Linked DNA regions of Saccharomyces cerevisiae S288C. Changing the gene in region 3 together with the main gene of any one other region gives a genetic interaction. Each region holds a gene or a part of one and is shown on either strand. Other genes may lie near its edges.

Region 1 (8,507 bases), on a different chromosome or scaffold from region 3:
ACCTCATACATTGCACCACTTTATTTCACACACTTACACGATGGGCAAAAGACGCAGACGATAAATATCATGATATAAACTCAATGTATGAAAACATGTTTACACCTTCAAATGATAACGTTTCAATTTTGCAGGATGAAGGTAAATCTGATTATGATACGACGAAGGCCAGCTCTATGGAAGAAGATATCAGTGCTTTTAATAAAGACTTGTACAATTTCTATAATATTGGATATGCCAAACAGATCATGTCTGCTTCACAATTGGAAAATATAGTAAAGGCAAAGGGCAGATTTGTTATACAAAGTTTATCCACCAGTCCTTATTATAATTTGGCCCTTGAAAACTATGTTTTCAAGAATACACCAAGAGCCAAAAGAGGTCCCGATAATTGCAGACTGTTATTTTACATCAATGATAGGTGCGCCGTTATAGGCAAAAACCAAAATCTGTGGCAGGAAGTAGATCTTGCTAAGCTGAAGAGTAAGAATTTCGAACTACTTAGAAGATTTTCTGGAGGTGGCACTGTACTGCATGATTTGGGCAATGTTAATTATTCATATTTAACATCAAGGGAGAAATTCGAAACAAAGTTTTTCAACAAAATGATAATTAAGTGGTTAAATTCATTGAATCCCGAACTAAGACTAGATTTGAATGAGAGAGGAGATATTATTCAGGACGGGTTTAAAATTAGTGGCAGTGCTTATAAAATTGCCGGTGGCAAAGCATACCATCATGCAACGATGTTGCTTAATGCGGATTTAGAACAGTTTAGCGGCTTATTAGAACCCTCACTACCGAACAATATGGAATGGGAGTCAAGTGGAGTTCATAGTGTAAAATCAAAAATCAAAAATGTTGGTATAATTACTCCTAATCAGTTCATTGCAGTGGTATCCGAGCGTTTTCAGAAAACATTCAAAGTTGACGGCGAAATACCTATATATTACTGTGACGAGTTTAAATCTATAAACGATGAGATTAAAGATGCTATGAACACCTTACAGAGCGAACAATGGAAATATTTCTCGGGGCCTAAATTTTCAGTGAAGATTAAAGATAAAGGCTTAACAATTAAAGTCGAAAAGGGCATGATTTATGATTGTGATAGAAATGATTTAATCGGCTTGGAATTCAAAGGATTTTTGGAGAATATTGACAGTTACACATAACGTTGATGAATATTTCAATTCACTTGTAAATAACGTAGGTAAATATCAAAATTAAAGTCTTTCACCGGAAACTGATTCAGCATATTTCAGCAGACGCGTCCTAGATTCACAGCAAACTTCAATATAAGCGATACATTAGGAGTGTTCGTACTTTAGATCTATAAGAACTATATTTTGTTACGATTCAGCCGTCTCTAAATGTGAACTAAATATTTATACTGTTATTTGAGAAACCGACAGATAGTACTTAATTTTATCGATCATCTAAGAATAGCATCGGTATTGTGGTGACATTTATTGAATTTCTTCCGCTCCAGAATAAAGTTCCTTTTCACTTCAAAAAACTGCCACCAGTAAAGTTGCACCAGTGGTTTTTGAGCATTTTTTGTCAATGTCGCTTAACCGTTCTTGAACTGTATCCTCTTGACGTCGATAAAATCATTTGTAAAAACCAGGCCAAATCATCATTGAATAATTTACACTGTGTCTTCAATGTCGCCATTTGGACCAATAATTATCAAACTGTTCACAATTCACTCAAAGTCCTTTCAGCAACATTCTTATGAAACAATACTTTCTTTGAATTTGTATGATGAAACAAAATTTTTTGGTTATTAATCATTTATCACTCTCGGTAGCCAAGTTGGTTTAAGGCGCAAGACTGTAATTTACCACTACGAAATCTTGAGATCGGGCGTTCGACTCGCCCCCGGGAGATTTTTTTAATGTGCTCTAAATAGAATGTGGATGAAATTTCTCTTGGCCGCCGTACCCTTCTTCATAATTAATAATTTCTTTCCATTTTGCAGGATTATATCTGATCAATAAGTGATTGTAAAGATTTTGTTTGTGAGAAATATGTGAATTTTTAATTTTGGTTATAACTTAATAATTGTTGGAATTCCATTTTTGATAAAGATGAAAATTGGTGAATTTTGAGATAATTGTTGGGATTCCATTGTTGATAAAGGCTATAATATTAGGTATACAGAATATACTAGAAGTTCTCCTCGAGGATCTAGGAATCCTCATAATGGAACCTATATTTCTATATACTAATATTCCGTTTTATTCCTTATTCCGTTTTATATGTTTCATTATCCTATTACATTATCAATCCTTGCACTTCAGCTTCCTCTAACTTCGATGACAGCTTCTCATAACTTATGCCATCATCTTAGCACCATATATGATAATATATTGGTAGTATGACTACTAGTTGATAGACTGAAGAGAATGTGGATTTTGATGTAATTGTTGGGATTCCATTTTTAATAAGGCAATAATATTAGGTATGTAGATATACTAGAAGTTCTCCTCGAGGATTTAGGAATCCATAAAAGGGAATCTGCAATTCTATACAATTCTATAAATATTATTATCATCATTTTATATGTTAATATTCATTGATCCTATTACATTATCAATCCTTGCGTTTCAGCTTCCACTAATTTAGATGACTATTTCTCATCATTTGCGTCATCTTCTAACACCGTATATGATAATATACTAGCAACGTAAATACTAGTTAGTAGATGATAGTTGATTTTTATTCCAACATAGACGATAGTTGATTTTTATTCCAACAGTGTTGACATATAAATACTAGTCAACTAAATGGTAATTGGTTATTATTCCTCAACATTCTGCTACCAAACGCAAATGTAGTAGGAGAGTTTAGATTTTCAACGTTGGTTTGCGAGATTGGTGAAATCAAAGCATAGTTTACCTTTAATCCCAATCTTCCAACAAACAGTAGCTCGCGTGGCGTAATGGCAACGCGTCTGACTTCTAATCAGAAGATTATGGGTTCGACCCCCATCGTGAGTGCTTTGTTTCTTCCGTGATAGTTTAATGGTCAGAATGGGCGCTTGTCGCGTGCCAGATCGGGGTTCAATTCCCCGTCGCGGAGATTTTTTTTGAAGCTGTTGTAGTTACTACTTTAAGATCCAGATTGATACAGTACGTATGTGAGGCAACAGATACTTGCAATATAACAAGTTTTGTGAAGAGATAGTGTGAATACCTATGGTTCCACGCAAGAAATCATCTATTTGAATTTTCGGCTTCTATAAGAATGACAAAACTCATAGGAAGCTGCAATGCATTAATTTTCCGTAAGCTTTATTAACCCGTTAGCCGCTCAAGTCGCTTTTCTCAGGTCGCGCTCCTCTTCTCCGGACTTATGTGGCTCCCTTTAGAATATAAGGGTCTTCCCTTTAACGGAACAGTAAGGTTCCACAAGGTGGCAAAAAAGGCAATCCAACCGACACTTCGGCAAATTTCTTTCACTCTAGTCAGAGCTAAGTTCTTATATATACTTTCTAAATAATTATCTGCTAAAATAAGAAAAGAAGGAGCCTAAATACGTATATCTATATACATGTATACACGTGAGCTAATAAATTATGTTATCTTTGAAAAAAGGAATAACAAAATCATACATCTTGCAAAGAACTTTCACTTCTTCCTCTGTTGTTCGTCAAATTGGGGAAGTGAAATCTGAATCGAAACCGCCGGCCAAATATCATATTATCGACCATGAATATGATTGTGTGGTGGTAGGCGCTGGCGGTGCAGGTTTAAGAGCAGCTTTCGGTTTGGCTGAAGCTGGATACAAGACTGCTTGTTTATCCAAGTTGTTTCCAACAAGGTCACATACTGTGGCTGCTCAGGGTGGAATTAATGCTGCGCTGGGAAATATGCATCCAGATGATTGGAAATCGCACATGTACGACACTGTCAAGGGTTCTGACTGGCTCGGAGACCAAGATGCAATCCATTACATGACAAGAGAAGCACCTAAGTCTGTCATTGAACTAGAACATTACGGTATGCCCTTTTCGAGGACTGAAGATGGAAGGATTTACCAGAGAGCATTTGGGGGACAATCCAAAGATTTTGGTAAAGGTGGACAGGCCTATAGGACTTGTGCGGTGGCAGATAGAACAGGTCACGCAATGCTTCATACATTGTATGGACAAGCGCTGAAAAATAATACACACTTCTTTATTGAATACTTTGCAATGGATTTGTTGACCCATAATGGCGAGGTTGTGGGTGTCATTGCCTATAATCAGGAGGACGGTACAATTCACAGATTCAGAGCACATAAGACCGTCATCGCGACAGGCGGATACGGTAGAGCTTACTTCTCTTGCACTTCTGCTCACACTTGTACAGGTGACGGTAATGCTATGGTTTCTCGCGCTGGATTTCCACTAGAGGATTTAGAATTTGTTCAATTTCATCCGTCAGGAATTTATGGGTCTGGCTGCCTAATCACTGAAGGTGCCCGTGGTGAGGGTGGATTTTTATTGAATTCTGAAGGAGAAAGGTTTATGGAACGCTATGCTCCTACTGCCAAGGACTTGGCAAGCAGGGATGTTGTTTCCAGAGCAATCACCATGGAAATCAGGGCTGGCAGAGGTGTCGGGAAAAACAAGGATCATATCCTTTTACAATTAAGCCATCTACCACCTGAGGTACTAAAGGAAAGGCTACCGGGAATATCTGAAACAGCTGCTGTCTTTGCGGGTGTCGATGTCACCCAGGAGCCAATTCCTGTCTTGCCAACTGTCCATTATAATATGGGAGGCATTCCCACAAAATGGACTGGTGAAGCATTGACCATTGACGAGGAAACTGGAGAGGATAAGGTCATCCCAGGATTGATGGCGTGTGGTGAAGCTGCTTGCGTATCGGTTCATGGAGCGAACAGATTAGGCGCTAACTCACTACTGGATTTAGTCGTTTTCGGTCGCGCCGTTGCAAATACCATTGCTGACACATTACAGCCTGGCTTGCCTCATAAGCCATTGGCTTCAAACATCGGGCACGAGTCAATTGCTAATTTGGATAAAGTAAGAAATGCTCGCGGCTCACTGAAAACCTCTCAAATCAGGTTGAACATGCAAAGGACAATGCAAAAAGATGTTTCTGTTTTCAGGACGCAAGACACTCTAGATGAAGGTGTTAGAAATATTACTGAAGTGGACAAGACATTTGAGGATGTGCACGTTTCTGATAAGTCAATGATCTGGAATTCTGATCTCGTAGAAACTCTGGAATTGCAAAATTTACTTACTTGTGCCACACAAACGGCTGTTTCTGCTTCCAAAAGAAAGGAGTCTCGTGGTGCTCATGCGAGAGAGGACTATGCAAAAAGAGATGATGTGAATTGGAGAAAGCACACATTATCATGGCAAAAGGGGACATCAACACCTGTAAAAATCAAGTACAGGAATGTAATCGCACATACTTTAGATGAGAATGAATGCGCCCCAGTCCCTCCAGCTGTCAGATCCTATTAATTCTTATTTATTTATTTATTTATTTTGGAGGGCAAACTTATTTATTGATCTGGCAAAAATGATCTTTCCCTTTTTTCTTATTTTTCTCTCTATCTCTCTCATTGATTCTTGGTCAATAGTACTCGTTTACTGTCAACTTACACCTTATCTATTATGCTATATAATTTTATGCAAGACATTGAAGTACAATATACGTCGAGCTGCAATATGCAAAAATATCAGAGGGAAACCAGCTCATTAGGAAATATGACATGTGGGCTATCTGTTTGTTGGTGGTAGCTGGGTTTTTTTTTTTTTTTTTTTGATTTTGTCGTGCGGGTGTGCAGGCTGGGATTTCAAACAAATAACAACGAGTAATTGACAAGAAAAACTTATTGGCTTATTTTCTTTTTGTTCTTCAAAATTGTTTGCCTTACCCTCTCCCTCAGTTTGTTTTCGAGTGATTGTCTATTAGGATCAATAGTCAACTTTGCTGTTTCCATACTTAAAACATCACTAGTCTTTATGCCGAACTTCGCATTTATAAAAGTGTCGCAAATCAATCTCATATCGTCGTAATTTTTTCCATACCACAATTCACATAAATTTCCAGTGACCTTACACAGGTCTAAAAACTTTTCATCATCTTTACTGGCATCTTCCTTTTCAAAAATTTTCTTGAAATGCAAAATCAATTCAACAAATTCATCGTTATTATTCGTATGTTCATAGTCACCTTGGCTCACTAGTTCGTGAAGCTCATCGTAAATGGATAACAAAAGGGTGATGATAGTGCATGCAATGAAAATATCCAAGGGATAATTGAACGTCAGGACGTGGTCCCAAACGATTAGCACATATTTTAAGGGTAATTCTCTTAAAAATAACAACCTTGTCCATCGGATGAGCCAGATTAGGTTGGAGTGAATCAGATGGTCTACGTTTTTTTTCTTCCCGCTGCCCGTTTTTGGTGGTTGGTAAAAAACCTTTGAAAACAAGTCTGGCAAACAAATCCTAAAGATTTTCGTGAATACTCTCTTATCCCAGTTAATCAAATTTTCTTCGTTATAAAAAATCGGTTCGATTTGGTTCATTAGCTTGTTAAAGATAATCAGAACGTTTTGCAAATCGGTATTATCGAGATCTGTACCGTGATATAATTGCAGATAAATGACGCTTAATATTTCGTGGAACCCTTGTTTATACTGTAGGTGTTCGCTTTGATGTATAAGCAGGTAATTGTACAAAAGTTGTCTCATTTGAGCATGAACCTTGGGTTCCTGAAATATATCGTCAAGCATTATCCTTGAGAGGTCCAAATCTATAATTTCCAGAGTTTCCCTCAGTGTCAACGGCTTTTCATCACTTCCCTTGGACAAAGAACCTTTAGTTTTGTCATTGTCATCAGACAAGGGATGTTTTTCAACAGCCTCGACGGGAGTCAGCCTCCTGATTCCCACTGAGGAGGAAACGTTCGAGTGCAAGACCCTTTTAGGTACATTTGCATTATGATTTTCGTCATAGTTGTCGCCATCTGCCAGCATAGGCACTGGCACCAAGCCGAACTGGTTAAGGTCCAAACCTTTAAAGTTATCAGTTAACAAGCAGTTGTTGTTTTCATCACACAGAAGCAAAGCTTTCCAGAGCCAGCCTCTACTATTTTCTTTAAAGATAGAGTCATGGTAGAGTTCACCTTTCCAAATTCCCTTCTGCACCAGTTGGTCTCTTGTCTCGTAGTGGTCAATCGCCCATTGTAAGACATCCTTCATGGTTGCATAAGCGAAAAAATACAAACGCACGACAGCTAACCCTCTCTATGTATGCCAATTCTCTTGACAACTCTCCCCCATTGTTCTGAAAAAGGTAATGAAATTAAACGCTGCTGTACCGATTATGGAAAACTCAATGGAAAAATTGAAAAAAAAAAAAAAAGGAACTAGTAATGCCGTAGGAGAAGCGGGTAACATAATATCCGGTTTTCCTTTACGACCGCTTACAGGCCTAAACCAGCGCACCATCCAGTTACAATAACACTTGGAGCATGCGTACACGTGTGCGTATTCTACGGCTGGCATGGGCAAAATAAGACGTGGAATTTTTCTGTGGTCAGAACTTTGCGTCAGTAAATAATTCAAGAAAAAATAATAATTATGTCGAAAAAAAAATAGAAAAAAAAGAAAAAAAGAATACTAAAAGGTGAGTGTTCAGGAAAACCGCAAGCCATGTTTGTTGATTATTCCGGACTGGAGCGTTACACGGATATAAATGCATCTTTTGGTAAGTTGGTCAACACTTACTGCTGTTTTCAGCGCTGTGAAGCCATCAGCGAACAATTGGAGATTCTGAAAAGTCTAGTACCAAAGTGCCACGACATTGTGGCACTTACTGACGAAGACTTTGCTAGTGGCCGTACTGCCGGACTGACGCAGAAATTGTTTGCTATGGCGATGACCCTACACCAGATCACCGACTGTATCGACCTCCTGCAGAAATGCAACACCATAATACCCATCGAGATCGCCAACCCGGCTAGCTTTGAAAGCGGCGCCGCGACGGCGCCGCTACGTCAAAGCTATGCTAGGCTCTTGGATGACTGGTCCCACTACATGGGCCCATCAACGGTAAAACACACAGGCTGTACCAACCGACCCAAGTGGAGATTTCCCTGGCAACAGTCACGGACTATCATCATCCCCATGCTGTTTATTGGCGAAACTGCAATGAGCACCAGGGACCTAAGGTCTGTGCTGCATGATTGTGAGATCAGGCACGCGAGCGAAATGCCGCTGCAGCTACTTTGGACGTCGTCACCGGAGTTGGTGTACGCCACACCGCATGTTGACGACTACGACATTTGGTCGCGCTACGGGTCTGATTACAACATGCAGATAGAGGACGAAGACGAAGCATCAAAAGGGCGACAGCGCAAGTGTGTGGTGCAGTTGGAGGCACTGTTGGGTGCGCTACCTACTACGGACCCGTTGTTCCAATGGTAGCCCGGGCCTTTTTTTTTTTCATCAGCTTCTCTTTTAGGCCGTCG
Region 2 (9,100 bases), on a different chromosome or scaffold from region 3:
AGCACACAAAGGACAGATAGTATTAATAAAAGGTATTTCAAGTGCATATATTAAATCCGCGACGTTGTACTCTGTAAAGAGTAAGGAGGACATGAAACAGCTAAAATTTTTCAAACCTTTAGATTATATTACCGAGGCAGTTTTCAAAATTGTTCTTCAACCTTTACTGCCAAGGGAATTACCCAAGTTATTGGATGCCCTGAACAAAATTTCGAAATACTACCCAGGCGTTATTATTAAAGTTGAGGAATCTGGAGAACATGTAATACTAGGAAATGGAGAGCTGTATATGGACTGTTTGTTGTATGATCTAAGAGCGAGTTATGCAAAGATAGAAATTAAAATATCTGATCCTTTAACTGTTTTTTCTGAAAGTTGCTCAAATGAATCGTTCGCTTCAATACCTGTAAGTAATTCGATATCTCGCCTTGGTGAGGAAAATTTACCAGGTCTGTCGATTAGTGTAGCCGCTGAACCAATGGACTCTAAAATGATTCAGGATTTGAGCAGGAACACATTGGGAAAGGGTCAAAACTGCTTGGATATTGACGGAATAATGGACAACCCAAGGAAACTATCCAAAATATTGAGAACCGAGTATGGGTGGGATTCGTTGGCATCAAGAAACGTTTGGTCTTTTTATAATGGCAACGTGTTGATTAATGACACTTTGCCAGATGAAATCAGTCCTGAATTATTATCCAAATATAAGGAACAAATAATACAAGGATTTTACTGGGCTGTAAAAGAGGGGCCTTTGGCAGAAGAACCAATTTATGGTGTACAGTATAAATTGTTATCGATCTCAGTACCTTCCGACGTAAACATTGACGTTATGAAAAGTCAAATTATTCCGCTAATGAAAAAAGCCTGTTACGTTGGCTTACTGACAGCAATCCCAATTTTATTGGAACCCATCTATGAAGTTGACATCACGGTCCACGCCCCCTTGCTGCCAATAGTAGAGGAACTTATGAAGAAGAGACGTGGAAGCAGGATATACAAAACAATAAAAGTGGCAGGGACACCATTGTTGGAGGTTCGTGGACAAGTTCCGGTTATTGAATCTGCAGGATTCGAGACAGATTTGAGATTATCTACGAATGGTCTTGGTATGTGTCAGCTGTACTTTTGGCACAAGATATGGAGGAAGGTTCCTGGTGATGTTTTGGATAAAGATGCGTTTATTCCAAAATTGAAACCCGCACCTATCAACAGTTTAAGTCGTGATTTCGTGATGAAAACAAGAAGGCGGAAGGGTATTTCTACAGGTGGATTTATGTCAAATGATGGTCCTACGCTTGAAAAGTATATAAGCGCTGAATTATACGCTCAATTAAGAGAAAATGGCTTAGTACCGTGAAAATCTTGGCGCATAAGAATTAAGCAATATGTCCACAATATTTTTATTCAGCAGAATTTACATATGACTTCGTATTTAGTGATATAACTACTCATCGGGACTGAAAATTTTTTATTTCTGCCTAAATACAGATGAGATGAGCTTTATAGAATTTTACGCTGTTAAAAAGTTAAACGGTAACAAAGCACAGTTAGTTGAACAACGGTATATAGAGAATGGCTAAAGGTTTCAAGTTGAAGGAGTTGCTTTCGCATCAAAAGGAAATTGAAAAAGCTGAAAAGCTTGAAAATGACCTAAAGAAAAAGAAATCCCAAGAATTGAAGAAAGAAGAACCAACTATCGTTACAGCTTCTAATTTGAAAAAGCTTGAGAAGAAAGAAAAGAAGGCCGATGTTAAGAAGGAAGTTGCTGCAGATACTGAAGAATATCAAAGCCAAGCCCTTTCTAAAAAAGAGAAAAGAAAGTTGAAAAAAGAATTGAAAAAAATGCAAGAACAGGACGCTACCGAAGCTCAAAAGCATATGTCTGGCGATGAAGATGAATCTGGCGACGATAGAGAGGAAGAAGAAGAAGAAGAAGAAGAAGAAGAAGGAAGACTGGATCTTGAGAAATTGGCCAAAAGTGACTCTGAGTCTGAAGATGATTCTGAGTCTGAAAATGATTCTGAAGAGGATGAGGATGTCGTTGCTAAAGAAGAAAGCGAGGAAAAGGAAGAGCAAGAAGAAGAACAAGACGTTCCATTGTCAGACGTGGAATTTGATTCTGATGCAGATGTCGTTCCACATCATAAACTAACCGTCAACAACACAAAAGCGATGAAACATGCCTTAGAAAGGGTACAATTGCCATGGAAAAAACATTCATTCCAAGAGCACCAAAGCGTTACATCAGAAACTAATACGGATGAACATATTAAGGACATATACGATGATACTGAAAGGGAATTAGCATTTTACAAGCAATCACTGGACGCTGTTTTAGTAGCACGTGACGAATTGAAACGACTAAAAGTACCCTTCAAAAGACCATTGGATTATTTTGCTGAAATGGTGAAAAGTGATGAACATATGGACAAGATTAAGGGTAAGTTGATTGAAGAAGCCAGTGACAAGAAGGCACGTGAAGAAGCTAGAAGACAAAGGCAATTGAAGAAATTTGGTAAGCAAGTCCAAAACGCTACCTTACAGAAACGTCAATTGGAGAAAAGAGAAACACTGGAAAAGATCAAATCTTTGAAGAACAAAAGAAAGCACAACGAGATCGATCACTCCGAGTTCAACGTCGGTGTAGAGGAAGAAGTTGAAGGAAAAAGGTTCGATAGAGGCAGGCCTAACGGAAAGAGAGCCGCAAAAAACGCTAAGTATGGCCAAGGAGGCATGAAGAGATTCAAGAGGAAGAATGATGCTACCTCTTCTGCTGATGTCAGCGGCTTTTCTTCCAGAAAAATGAAGGGGAAGACCAATAGACCAGGAAAGAGTAGACGTGCCAGAAGATTCTAAGCCGTTATGTCGGCAAGAACACTGTATATATCCAGAACGTAAAGTATATACAACTATCTATCATCTCTTTGTACACTAGTATAAAATAGAATTAAATCCAACGAAGCCCTAAAAGGCTTTTGTAACCCTGCCAAGATGACGGGAAAATAAAGGGAAAGACCTTATGTTTTTGCCCAAAAACCCTAGCGCCGGCGCTAATATTAATGGCCGGAATGAAAAGGTCCCGGAACTTTGTGTATGGCGTTGCGCTCTTCCTGTGAGTGGGGGGAAACAGATTAGATAATTGAATTCAATAACAACAGTCAATGGGGGACGGAGGGTCTTATGTTCCCTTTGGGTCATCGGGGACGCAAGTAAGAAGATACGCAATCAGCAAGCGCTGTTATTACTCTAACGAAGAAATCTTTTCAGCAAAACGGTCCAAAAGAACGAATGTTTACGTCGCAGCGACAGCTTCGACAAAATGGGAGTCCGATGTCATCATCACGTTCATCACAACATTCCTCTGGTACAGCGTCGCCGATATCAGACTCTCCAGCATCGAATCGCAGCTATGGAAGAGATCTACGAGGCTTAATGGGAATTGATATACCTGCTAACGAACCAGCTTTTAACAGGGCCAATAGCAGTGATACAATCTATTTCAGGCCTAAGAAGATTTACAAAATGGAACATGAGCACCCATCACGATCTACTTTAGTACAACTGCAGACAAGATCGCAGCCGGACGATGTCGCAAGTAGTCAAGTAAACCCTGAAGGCGGAACCGACGATCTAGAGCTGGGCGATCCGTGTGGCAATCAATCTTTATACACTATAGGGGCGGAGTACGTTCCAGATTTAGACTTTACAAAGCTAGTGAATGAGTGGCAAAAGTCCACCGAGGATTTGTATGAGTTCAGAAGCAGTGCCACTCCGCAGGTACAAATCAAAGACAGTGGAAAGGGAAACTACGAACTTTGGAGCTCACCGGATGCAATATTGACTCAAAACAAACTTCGAAGAGATAGTTTTTCGCAAGAGAACAGTGATTCGTTAAGTCCAGAAGATTCTATTTTATCAAGAAATTTGCATTCTAAGGTCAAACCCATCCCTCTGCCCAGAAACAGCCAGCAAATATTTACACCCCTGTCCAACTTAGAAGCGGAAAGGAGATCCTCATATACAACTAGTAGCAACAACAATAGCATAACACAGAATAATAAATTCTCTTTTGCGAAGTTAAAGTATTCACTTCCAACTCAAAGTTCTGCAGTTCCTGCGTCGTTCGATTCAAATGCTTCGTCACTAAATTTTCTTCCGACTACTACATTATCGACCTTATCAGAGCTACAAATAAGCCCCAACGATATGATGGATTTGATTCAGAAGCTTCCCAGAAATTTTTTGAACTTGCCGTATACTCAAAGGAAAAAGGTGATTATCGAGCATGCACCATCTCATGACTACAAGGCCATGATGTCCCTAGTTAAGAAGTTTATGTTAACATCTTCTAGAAGTAACTTTTCTCTCGCTGGGTTTGCCAATAATGCTTCAGTTTCGCAGGCCACGGCTAATGATGATAACATCAATAGTAGGAACACGCCCAATAATAGCAATGACACCTACGTAAATACGCGTCCACTTCAAAGATCTAGGCACGGTTCCATTGCATCCCAATTTTTAAGTTCTTTTTCACCTTCGATGACGTCAATAGCTAAAATGAATTCGAACCCATTGAGTGGAAGCGCAGGTGGCAGTGCGAGACCAGACGATAAGGGTATGGAAATACTAGGTCATCGGTTGGGTAAAATCATAGGTTTCGGCGCATGGGGGATCATACGGGAATGCTTTGATATTGAAACTGGTGTTGGTAGAGTGATAAAAATTGTGAAGTTCAAAGGACACCAAAATATCAAGAAACATGTGCTGAGAGAAGTAGCCATATGGAGGACTTTGAAGCATAACAGAATACTCCCCCTTTTAGATTGGAAGCTTGATGACAACTATGCAATGTATTGTTTAACGGAAAGAATTAACGATGGTACCTTATACGACTTGGTAATATCTTGGGACGAATTCAAACGTTCGAAGATACCATTTGCAGAGAGATGCAGATTGACCATTTTTTTAAGCTTACAACTATTATCTGCATTAAAGTACATGCATTCCAAAACGATTGTTCATGGTGACATCAAATTAGAAAACTGTCTGTTACAAAAAGAAGGTAAAAAATCGGATTGGAAGGTTTTCCTATGCGATTTTGGAATGAGTTGCCACTTCGATGAGAAGCATGTTTATCGTAACGATACTTTTGATGAAAACTTGAGTAGTGGCAACAGCCATAGAAAGAGAAAAAGTATTGAACAAACTAATTTGATAAAGTATCCCACAACCAATTTTTTACCTGACGACCGAACTAATGATTTTGACGCTAGTGAAAACTTAAAATACCAATTTGAAAATCGAAAGCATCAACCGTTTACACCAAAAGGAATGGTTAGCTCCAGTTCACATTCATTAAAGCATCTCAATCAACCATCCTCTTCTTCTTCTTCTAATCTATTTCACAAGCCAGCCTCTCAACCTCAACCACAGCATCGGAGTCCCTTTCATGGGAGGCACAAGACAACCGATTTTTCAAACCTGGAACCCGAACCTTCTAAATATATCGGATCTCTGCCTTACGCTTCGCCAGAACTTCTAAGATACTCAGATGCAAGACGTTCAAAATCAGTTGAAATGCATATTTATGATTCACCAGACTCCTCTCAATCGGAAATTAGCGCAGCATCATCATCTTCCTCTAATTTATCTTCTCTATCATCCTCTACAAAGGCGTCCGCAGTCACGAATTCCGGTGTAACTACAAGTTCACCGTCTGGTTCATCGACTGATTTTCCATGTATTGTTTCTCCTTTAGGACCAGCATCCGATATTTGGGCCTTGGGAGTAATGCTATATACAATGTTAGTAGGAAAATTACCCTTTAATCATGAGTTCGAACCTAGGTTACGCTCTCTGATTAAAGTAGGCGAATTTGACCGATTTTCTTTAGCTCAGGTCTGTAAATTTGACAGGAAAAAAAATGAAGGAACGATTGGTCAAGGCTTGTATGACACAGTCATTGGATGTTTGACGATTGACTTGGATAAGAGGTGGAAATTGAAAAGGATTGAAGAAGTCCTTCAAAACGAAATGAACCTAAGCGAGGCCATTCACGATAATAATGGCTCATGACTTATGATTAATGATATTGATTGCATTGAAAAAATACATACATTGTGCTTACTTTTTTTTCTCCCATTTTATAAATTATAACGAACTTCATAATTACTATTACGAAATATGTAAATAAGTATTTTTATCGCATATTTGATGCCTCTATCACTTATTTGGCGCTATTCATTGCGACTCGTGCAACGTGCGAAAACTCAGAATATTTTTTTGAACAGCCTTAAATCATGTTGCTAAATGACGGATGGAAGAAAAGGGACCTATAGAAGAGTTCGGATAAATTGTGAAGCGTGGATATTGGCATAGCGGATTTGTAGAACGGTGTGTCGTCAACCCTTTGAGATCTGGATAAGCCATATTTTCTAACATCACAACATGATATTTCTAAAATCTGTCATCAAGGTAATCGACAATTCAGGTGCACAATTAGCAGAATGTATTAAAGTAATAAGGAAAGGGTCCCCCAAGAGTCCTGCAATGGTTGGAGACAGAATAGTCTGTGTTATACAGAAAGCAAAGCCCTTGACTCAAAACATTACGGGGACAGCCAACACCAACCGTGTCAAAAAAGGTGATATTTGTCACGCAATTGTCGTAAGGTCTAAACAGCGTAACATGTGCAGAAAGGATGGCTCCACCGTTGCATTCGGAGATACTGCTTGCGTTTTGATTAATAAAAATACCGGTGAACCTCTGGGGACAAGAATTATGGCTAATGATGGTTGTGTAGATAGAACACTGAAAGACAAGGGATACAATAAGATATGCTCTTTGGCAAGTAGGGTCATATAAGAATAAAAGTACCCCCATTTTCCATTCATTAACGTTATAATCAAGGGACTGTAAACCAGCAAAAGAGCTTTGTCGTCATTATTTAATTAACCACCTGTATATATTGCTTAAATTTTAATGTATGACTTTAACTTTGAAAACGCATGAACGTGCTGCTGACGTTCTACTCATTGGAGTTGTATTCTTTTTCTTGTCTTATTCTATAATTGCATGCCGTGAATATTGTATACAAGATATTTATGTGGAATCATATATTAGGCAGCAATTCGTACTTTTCATCCACTGCATATCTAAAAGTTTGCCAACAGAAATCCTTTTTCTTGGTTCCCATTGAAAGATGCGATATAATGCGATTTTTCTATTTGTGGCCAACTCTGAGTTTACGTGCTTTAATTCTTCGAATACCCTAAACTGGTTTTTACGCTGCATTTCCTTGTAAAATTCATCATAAGACATATCTTTTTCTCTCGAAGCTACTTTCCAAAGATAATGCCCCAATATCATTGTTATATAAACAACGCCACAACTCCAACAGTCAATCAGTCTTGGATCGTAATACTCCCCATCAACAAACTCTTCTGGAGCTACGTAAGGCTCTGATCCAATTATACCCTTTTGAGCATGAACCCTCCTTTCCCAAGCGGTTTGAAATACAGAACTTGTACCGAAGTCACATATTTTCAATAGACCATGCGGATAAAAGAGAATATTTTCAGGTTTTAAATCACAATGAGCGATACCATGATCATGCATGAACTTAACACCATGAAGCAGTTGCTTCATGAAACAATCGGCTTCTAACGGATGTAATCGGCCCTTTAATTTCGACTTACCGACCAGCATACCATAAAGGTCACCAGCAGGGCAAAATTCCATTACTTCAATAAACGAAGAACTGTCTTCTAGAATATCAAATACGTTTAGAATATTGGGGGCTGGTTTTTTACCATTTTTGTGGTAGTGGCTCAAGGAATGCCCAATAATAAACTCAGAGGTGATCTTTGTACAGAACTTCTCTAAATCACTGTCTGGTTTGGGTTTCAATTCTTTCACAGCATAGTATATGTATTTGCTATCATGATATGTTTCAAATGGGGGGGAGTCCTTTTCATTCCGTAGTCTGGCACACAGCTTAACTTCACCGTAAGCTCCAGCGCCAACGAGACCAACAGGATGGCCATAATTATCTTGAAAAGTAGGTGCTTGCTCGCCGATACACTCAGCCGGTTTTAGATTTTTTTCTTGCAAATAATTTTGTAAACTTTTATGAATTCTGCTTGATAATGAATTAATCAACTTCAACTCATCACTGCCCAATGATGCGTCGGGATTCACTATTTTTAGATAATCTTCCCTTCCTTGCGTGGGCGAGCTGCGGTTGCTATCGTTAGGACTTTGACCGGTTCTTTTCTCATGGTTTGTCTGAGATTTTTCTACGTTTGGCAGAAGAGATAAAGCGTTTTCAATATCGCATTCATTTTTATGATGTTTGAATAGACCAGAAAGAGTAATACCTAATCTTGGTCTAGATAATGATCCCTGTCGATGTGCCGGTAAGGAGTTACCTTTCTCTAATTTCGCAATTACCCCTGATAACTTTATATTATGTTCATGACTTCCGTCTTCGTAAACTTTGAAGCCATTTTGCTCAATTATACATTGCACATCTGCTCCTGCAAATCGAGGCAAGCTCTCCAAACTTTCTTCATCTGGATGTGACCTCCTGGTGTATAACCTTTCATTATAGAATTGCTTGGAGGGGAGAGGATTTGGATATGATGTTGCTCTGCGTAAAGCCTTCTTATTGTAGTCATCTATGTAATTATACGGCGCCCGGTCTTTACTTTTCAGTATATCTTTGTTCGAGCCACGATAAGGTGTGAGGTCATTGTCTGAATCATCTAGTAAAGAATCCATAGCCCATTGACTGTCTGATGAACTTGTCGTTCCATTTGAACTGTCACATGACGAAACAGATGAACTTCTTGAACGTGGACGCCGTATGCCATGAAAAGTATGAGAAGCAGATCTTTTGTATTCTGGTAAACTGTTAACAATTTCCTGTTCTTCCCCAGATATAGAGCGATGTCTGGTAGGACTATTACTAGCACCACTTCCTGTCTGTCTAAATGGATGTGACAGGCCCGGGGTGCAACACTTCAATGTATAACTACGCTGGCGTATTGGAGAATTTTTTGGATCTAAAATTTGTGCGGATACGGTTGATCGT
Region 3 (5,709 bases):
AACCTTTGGTCTGTCTCCGTAGGTTTAGTCCCATGGATGCATCGTGCCCGTAAAATACTTTGGCGTTACTAAAGTGGTCTCCGTATTTGTCCCACAGTGTGTACCATCTCACATAATTCTTGTTTTCCTTTTCACGTGATGTTTTTGACCAGTTCTTCTTATCAACGTACTTCATGTTTGACAGAGAGCTCACGCCCGGAATTTGGTTGGGCTTCATGAAGTCTCCCGGAACCATCCCTGCATGTGCACCAAAGAGTATATCACCGGTAATATCCAGATCTAGTTCTATGGCCATAGAACAATGTTCCGCTAGCTGACTTAATTTGGAAAACCCAAGTTCGCGAGCTAACCGTCCATGTGCGTTGCTGATTTTAGAGATGTCTTGTGGTATGAAATTAGTCTCCGTACTGAAAGTTAAAGGTGTCATTAATTTGGGGCGTCTTACCCATTTCGAGAAGTCTGGGTTTAAATAGGCCATCATGACCAATATTTCATGATTGCCCAAAACGCACTTGACTTGATCCTTGTGATTTAGAATATACGACACGACCTTGTCTGAGTCCGGGCCCTTGTGAATAAAGTCACCCAGCAATATCATTGTTATATTTTCTCCTAGTCCTCCAATCTTGTCATCAATGAGTTCTATGAACTCATCATAGTTACCATGAACGTCACCAACAAAAACGTACTCCTTATTTAAATCTGTTACATGCTCAATTTTCTTCAAGGTGCTAATTGTAGGCAATAAGGAAACTGGTGGAGACAACCGAGGGTTATCAAACTTGAATATATATAGTGTATAAACGCAGCATGCCACAAATAATATCAATGCTGTACTAAGTGTAGCGGCTCGTCTTTTCCGCTTATCTTCCATTTTTGCGTATCTATGCTCCTCAAGCCTGGCTCATTTTACAAGCTGGAAGGTCGAGGAAAAGGAAGAACTAATTCAAGAATAATGTGCTCTTCTTATAGGATGCGTATATGTTCTAATATATCTCAGATGGGCCCGCGAGACTTTTCTAGCATGAAAAAAAAAGGTGGATCCTTGATTATCTAAAATTATAGTTTATATCGTTCATGCTGCACAAAAACGTGCCAGCAATGCAATGCGCCTCAAGCGTAAAAAAACAAGCGGCATTGGCCAACAGAGAAAAAAATATGAATTGTAGACGCGGCATTGAGAGAAGTATGGAAGACCCTTGACTAACCCTGATATGACTGTCTCAAGTCAGGATCTTCTTTGTCTCCTAAATGTTTGCCGTCCAGGAACTTTAAGTCAGTTTTATTTGGACATTTCTCGAGCACTTCTTTGGGAAAGTAGTCTTGTTGGACTTTTCCTTCAATATAATCGGGATTGTACTTGTAGCCTTTATGATAACCCAGCTCCTCCATCAATTTGGTTGGCGCATTTCTGATATGCATCGGTATCTCACTGCTTGCTAAACTGTACATGTTCTCGCTCATCATTGCCCTTAATTTCTTCCAAGCTCTATATAGTTCTACTGACTTTGGTGCCCTAGCCAAAGCAACACAACATTGCGCCAGTGCAAGGTCTGCCTCTGGCAAACCAACTTTCATTACTGCGTCATGTGCCGCGACAGCCAAGGGCAATAATGAACTATCCCGTAATCCGATATCTTCAGAAGCTATTCGAATCATTCTTCGGGCAACATACAATGGGTCCTCTCCTCCCTGCAACATTCTTGCTAAATAGTACAGTGAGGCGTTTTCGTCCCCACCTCTAATGGATTTATGAAACGCAGAGATTGTATCATAATGGTTATCTCCCTTTGGGTCATAGTATGTATTCAACCCGTTGCTGCTGTTGTTCTTAATTATGTCTCGTACATCATCGATAGATAATTCTTCCTCGTCGGCCTTGCGCTCTCTTGTTGAAACTTCGATCATTTCCAACATATTTAACGCCCTCCTTGTATCACCCACCGACAGATCTACCACGTACTCCAGTATGCTTCTAGACAATTTCAAAGGATTTTCAATATTCCATACTTGTTTCCTGCATTTATTCAATAATGCAATTCCTCTTGATAAAACAATACACAGTTCGTTGACATTCAGCTTTTCTAGGACAAAAATCAGACATCTGCTAATGAGAGCATTGTTCAGCTGAAAACTTGGATTTTCTGTCGTTGCACCAATCAAAATAATGTCACCGTTTTCTACGTGTGGCAATAACAAATCCTGTTGAACTTTATTGAATCTGTGAATTTCATCAATAAAAAGTACAGTTCTTCTTTTGGTCAATTGATATTCCTTTTTTGATTTTTCAAATATACCTCTCAATTCTTGCGTATTTGCCTTTGTCGCACTTGTTTCGATCATGAAGTACCTGGAACCAACATTTGATTCATTACTACTGGTTGTCGCAGTTTTCGTTAATAGTCTAGCTAGTGAAGTCTTTCCTACACCTGGAGGGCCCCAGAGTATCATAGATGGTATAGTCCCTTGTTTTATGTATTTGAACAATGTACCATTATCTTGAGAGAGAATGTGCTGCTGACCTACATAATCTCTTAATTCTTTTGGCCTCAATTTTTCACTAAGTGGCAAATGGCTTATTTTCTGCAACCATCTGCTTTCGTAATCGTTGTGAAGTTGATCTCTGCTCGAAGCAGGCTCCACTATTGATTTCGCAAAATCCGTGGATGGTGCTGCCTTAAATCTTTTGCTTTCATTTTCAACAATCTCAATATCATCACTCTCGCTCTTAAGACCTGGCTTAATTTCATGGTCCTTATTTTCAAGATCAATGAATTTCTCTGAGTTAGCTTGTTTCCTCTTTTTTGGGCCTGCCAAAAGACTTGACACCGTTTGTGGCCTACTCGAAGGCTTTGACTTTTCCTTGCCACATATGTCAAGATGAGAGTTGATTAAGGAAAAAAAGACTTTTCTAGAGCAAATTGGGCATGATATGAGCTGTTCTACAGATGTCCTCTTGTTACTCATTGAGACTGTGCGATCCTGTTTCAGATCTTACCGCTAGCGTTCTTCTGCTAATAAGCTATTTTTTACCTGTCGATGACCTACCTTAAAACACGTTTCGTTTAAGACAACGCGTACAGTTTCACAAGGAAAGCAACCGATGATTGAATGTCAATTAAAAAACAAAAAACAGATGTTAATTTTAACTGGGCTCTCAATATCAAACCGTTATAGTATATGATGTATCTAAACGACCACTTATCACTTGGATATGTTGTCAAATCCGTTTTGCTCTTGCGCATGTTATACCTACTTTTTACTATCTACGGCGGGCATCCTGACCCGGCTTATTTACTTGAAAATGCAACAATAAGTCCGTTACGCAATATTGAATTTTGATGAGAACCGTTCTGCGATATTCAGAACTGTCAATACAAGCTTGAAAAAGGGACAACTGGATATACAGGGGTGTTTTTGACACAATAGAGAATACTTTTTCGTTTTTATTGTACCATTACGGCTACTCAACGAGATTTCAAAACTTTAGCTGTATCGAATTGGCTCTTTTTTCACCCTGAAGCACAATTATAAGGGAACGATGAATTGCAAGGCGGTAACCATTAGTTTATTACTGTTGTTATTTTTAACAAGAGTATATATTCAGCCGACATTCTCGTTAATTTCAGATTGCGATGAAACTTTTAATTATTGGGAACCATTAAATTTATTGGTACGTGGATTTGGTAAACAAACCTGGGAATATTCACCCGAGTATTCTATTAGATCATGGGCTTTCTTATTACCTTTTTACTGTATTCTTTATCCAGTAAACAAATTTACTGACCTAGAAAGTCATTGGAACTTTTTCATCACAAGAGCATGCTTAGGCTTTTTTAGTTTTATCATGGAATTTAAACTACATCGTGAAATTGCAGGCAGCTTGGCATTGCAAATCGCAAATATTTGGATTATTTTCCAATTGTTTAATCCGGGCTGGTTCCATGCATCTGTGGAATTATTGCCTTCTGCCGTTGCCATGTTGTTGTATGTAGGTGCCACCAGACACTCTCTACGCTATCTGTCCACTGGGTCTACTTCTAACTTTACGAAAAGTTTAGCGTACAATTTCCTGGCTAGTATACTAGGCTGGCCATTTGTTTTAATTTTAAGCTTGCCATTATGTTTACATTACCTTTTCAACCATAGAATTATTTCTACCATCAGAACCGCATTCGACTGCTGTTTGATATTTTCATTGACTGCATTTGCTGTGATTGTCACTGACAGTATATTTTACGGGAAGCTTGCTCCTGTATCATGGAACATCTTATTTTACAATGTCATTAATGCAAGTGAGGAATCTGGCCCAAATATTTTCGGGGTTGAGCCATGGTACTACTATCCACTAAATTTGTTACTGAATTTCCCACTGCCTGTGCTAGTTTTAGCTATTTTGGGAATTTTCCATTTGAGATTATGGCCATTATGGGCATCATTATTCACATGGATTGCCGTTTTCACTCAACAACCTCACAAAGAGGAAAGATTTCTCTATCCAATTTACGGGTTAATAACTTTGAGTGCAAGTATCGCCTTTTACAAAGTGTTGAATCTATTCAATAGAAAGCCGATTCTTAAAAAAGGTATAAAGTTGTCAGTTTTATTAATTGTTGCAGGCCAGGCAATGTCACGGATAGTGGCTTTGGTGAACAATTACACAGCTCCTATAGCCGTCTACGAGCAATTTTCTTCACTAAATCAAGGTGGTGTGAAGGCACCGGTAGTGAATGTATGTACGGGACGTGAATGGTATCACTTCCCAAGTTCTTTCCTGCTGCCAGATAATCATAGGCTAAAATTTGTTAAATCTGGATTTGATGGTCTTCTTCCAGGTGATTTTCCAGAGAGTGGTTCTATTTTCAAAAAGATTAGAACTTTACCTAAGGGAATGAATAACAAGAATATATATGATACCGGTAAAGAGTGGCCGATCACTAGATGTGATTATTTTATTGACATCGTCGCCCCAATAAATTTAACAAAAGACGTTTTCAACCCTCTACATCTGATGGATAACTGGAATAAGCTGGCATGTGCTGCATTCATCGACGGTGAAAATTCTAAGATTTTGGGTAGAGCATTTTACGTACCGGAGCCAATCAACCGAATCATGCAAATAGTTTTACCAAAACAATGGAATCAAGTGTACGGTGTTCGTTACATTGATTACTGTTTGTTTGAAAAACCAACTGAGACTACTAATTGATATACAGGTTCTCTAAAACAAGCAGCAAAAAAAAAAAAAGCCTGCTTACTACTTGTTTTGAGCGTTTTTTCTTATCAATAGTTTTAACATTTTTCCACGTAAATATATATATATCTATATGTTTTTATGCATTTTATAAAAAAAATATGTTTGTTCATTACTCTTTCATTTTTTCATTGAAAACTTTTAAAAAATGTCATGATTAGTTACATTTCGTATATATAAAACTATAAAACTGTGAAAAGAAATTAAATTGAAGTTTGTCATGGATGTCCAACGCCCTATTTAATTTCTTTATGCAACATGCTTTCTCTTGCGGGGCCGGTACCAACCCATTCAACAGGAACGCCAACAAAATCTTCAATATATTTTAAGTACTTCTTTGCGTTTTCCGGCAAATCTTCATACTTTGTAATTTTGGTAATATCTTGATCCCAACCTGGCAAAACTTTGTATTCAACTTCAACTTTACCAAGAATATTCAAGTCTTCAGGGAACAA

What was found.
Region 1: mutations in ALG9 (region 3) and SDH9 together harm fitness more than expected from each alone (negative genetic interaction), as found in Saccharomyces cerevisiae (2 studies listed by BioGRID).
Region 2: mutations in ALG9 (region 3) and NNK1 together harm fitness more than expected from each alone (negative genetic interaction), as found in Saccharomyces cerevisiae (3 studies listed by BioGRID).

Annotation. Positions count from the first base shown.
Region 1 is NC_001142.9:352,441-360,947, forward strand, and holds SDH9 (succinate dehydrogenase SDH9), read left to right. Parts: upstream 1-3,583; coding exon 3,584-5,488; downstream 5,489-8,507. Other genes in the region: AIM22 (putative lipoate--protein ligase), read left to right, coding at 1-1,175; GTPase-activating protein GYP6, read right to left, coding at 5,860-7,236; YJL043W (uncharacterized protein), read left to right, coding at 7,690-8,463. UniProt on the Saccharomyces cerevisiae protein: Probable minor catalytic subunit of succinate dehydrogenase (SDH) that is involved in complex II of the mitochondrial electron transport chain and is responsible for transferring electrons from succinate to ubiquinone (coenzyme Q).
Region 2 is NC_001143.9:124,181-133,280, forward strand, and holds NNK1 (protein kinase NNK1), read left to right. Parts: upstream 1-3,294; coding exon 3,295-6,081; downstream 6,082-9,100. Other genes in the region: U5 snRNP GTPase SNU114, read left to right, coding at 1-1,363; EBP2 (Ebp2p), read left to right, coding at 1,579-2,862; mitochondrial 54S ribosomal protein uL14m MRPL38, read left to right, coding at 6,454-6,870; putative serine/threonine protein kinase KKQ8, read right to left, coding at 7,108-9,100. UniProt on the Saccharomyces cerevisiae protein: Serine/threonine-protein kinase involved in the phosphorylation of the NAD(+)-dependent glutamate dehydrogenase GDH2.
Region 3 is NC_001146.8:235,496-241,204, reverse strand, and holds ALG9 (dolichyl-P-Man:Man(6)GlcNAc(2)-PP-dolichol alpha-1,2-mannosyltransferase), read left to right. Parts: upstream 1-3,541; coding exon 3,542-5,209; downstream 5,210-5,709. Other genes in the region: PPN2 (putative serine/threonine-protein phosphatase), read right to left, coding at 1-874; ssDNA-dependent ATPase MGS1, read right to left, coding at 1,204-2,967; ADE12 (adenylosuccinate synthase), read right to left, coding at 5,491-5,709. UniProt on the Saccharomyces cerevisiae protein: Mannosyltransferase that operates in the biosynthetic pathway of dolichol-linked oligosaccharides, the glycan precursors employed in protein asparagine (N)-glycosylation.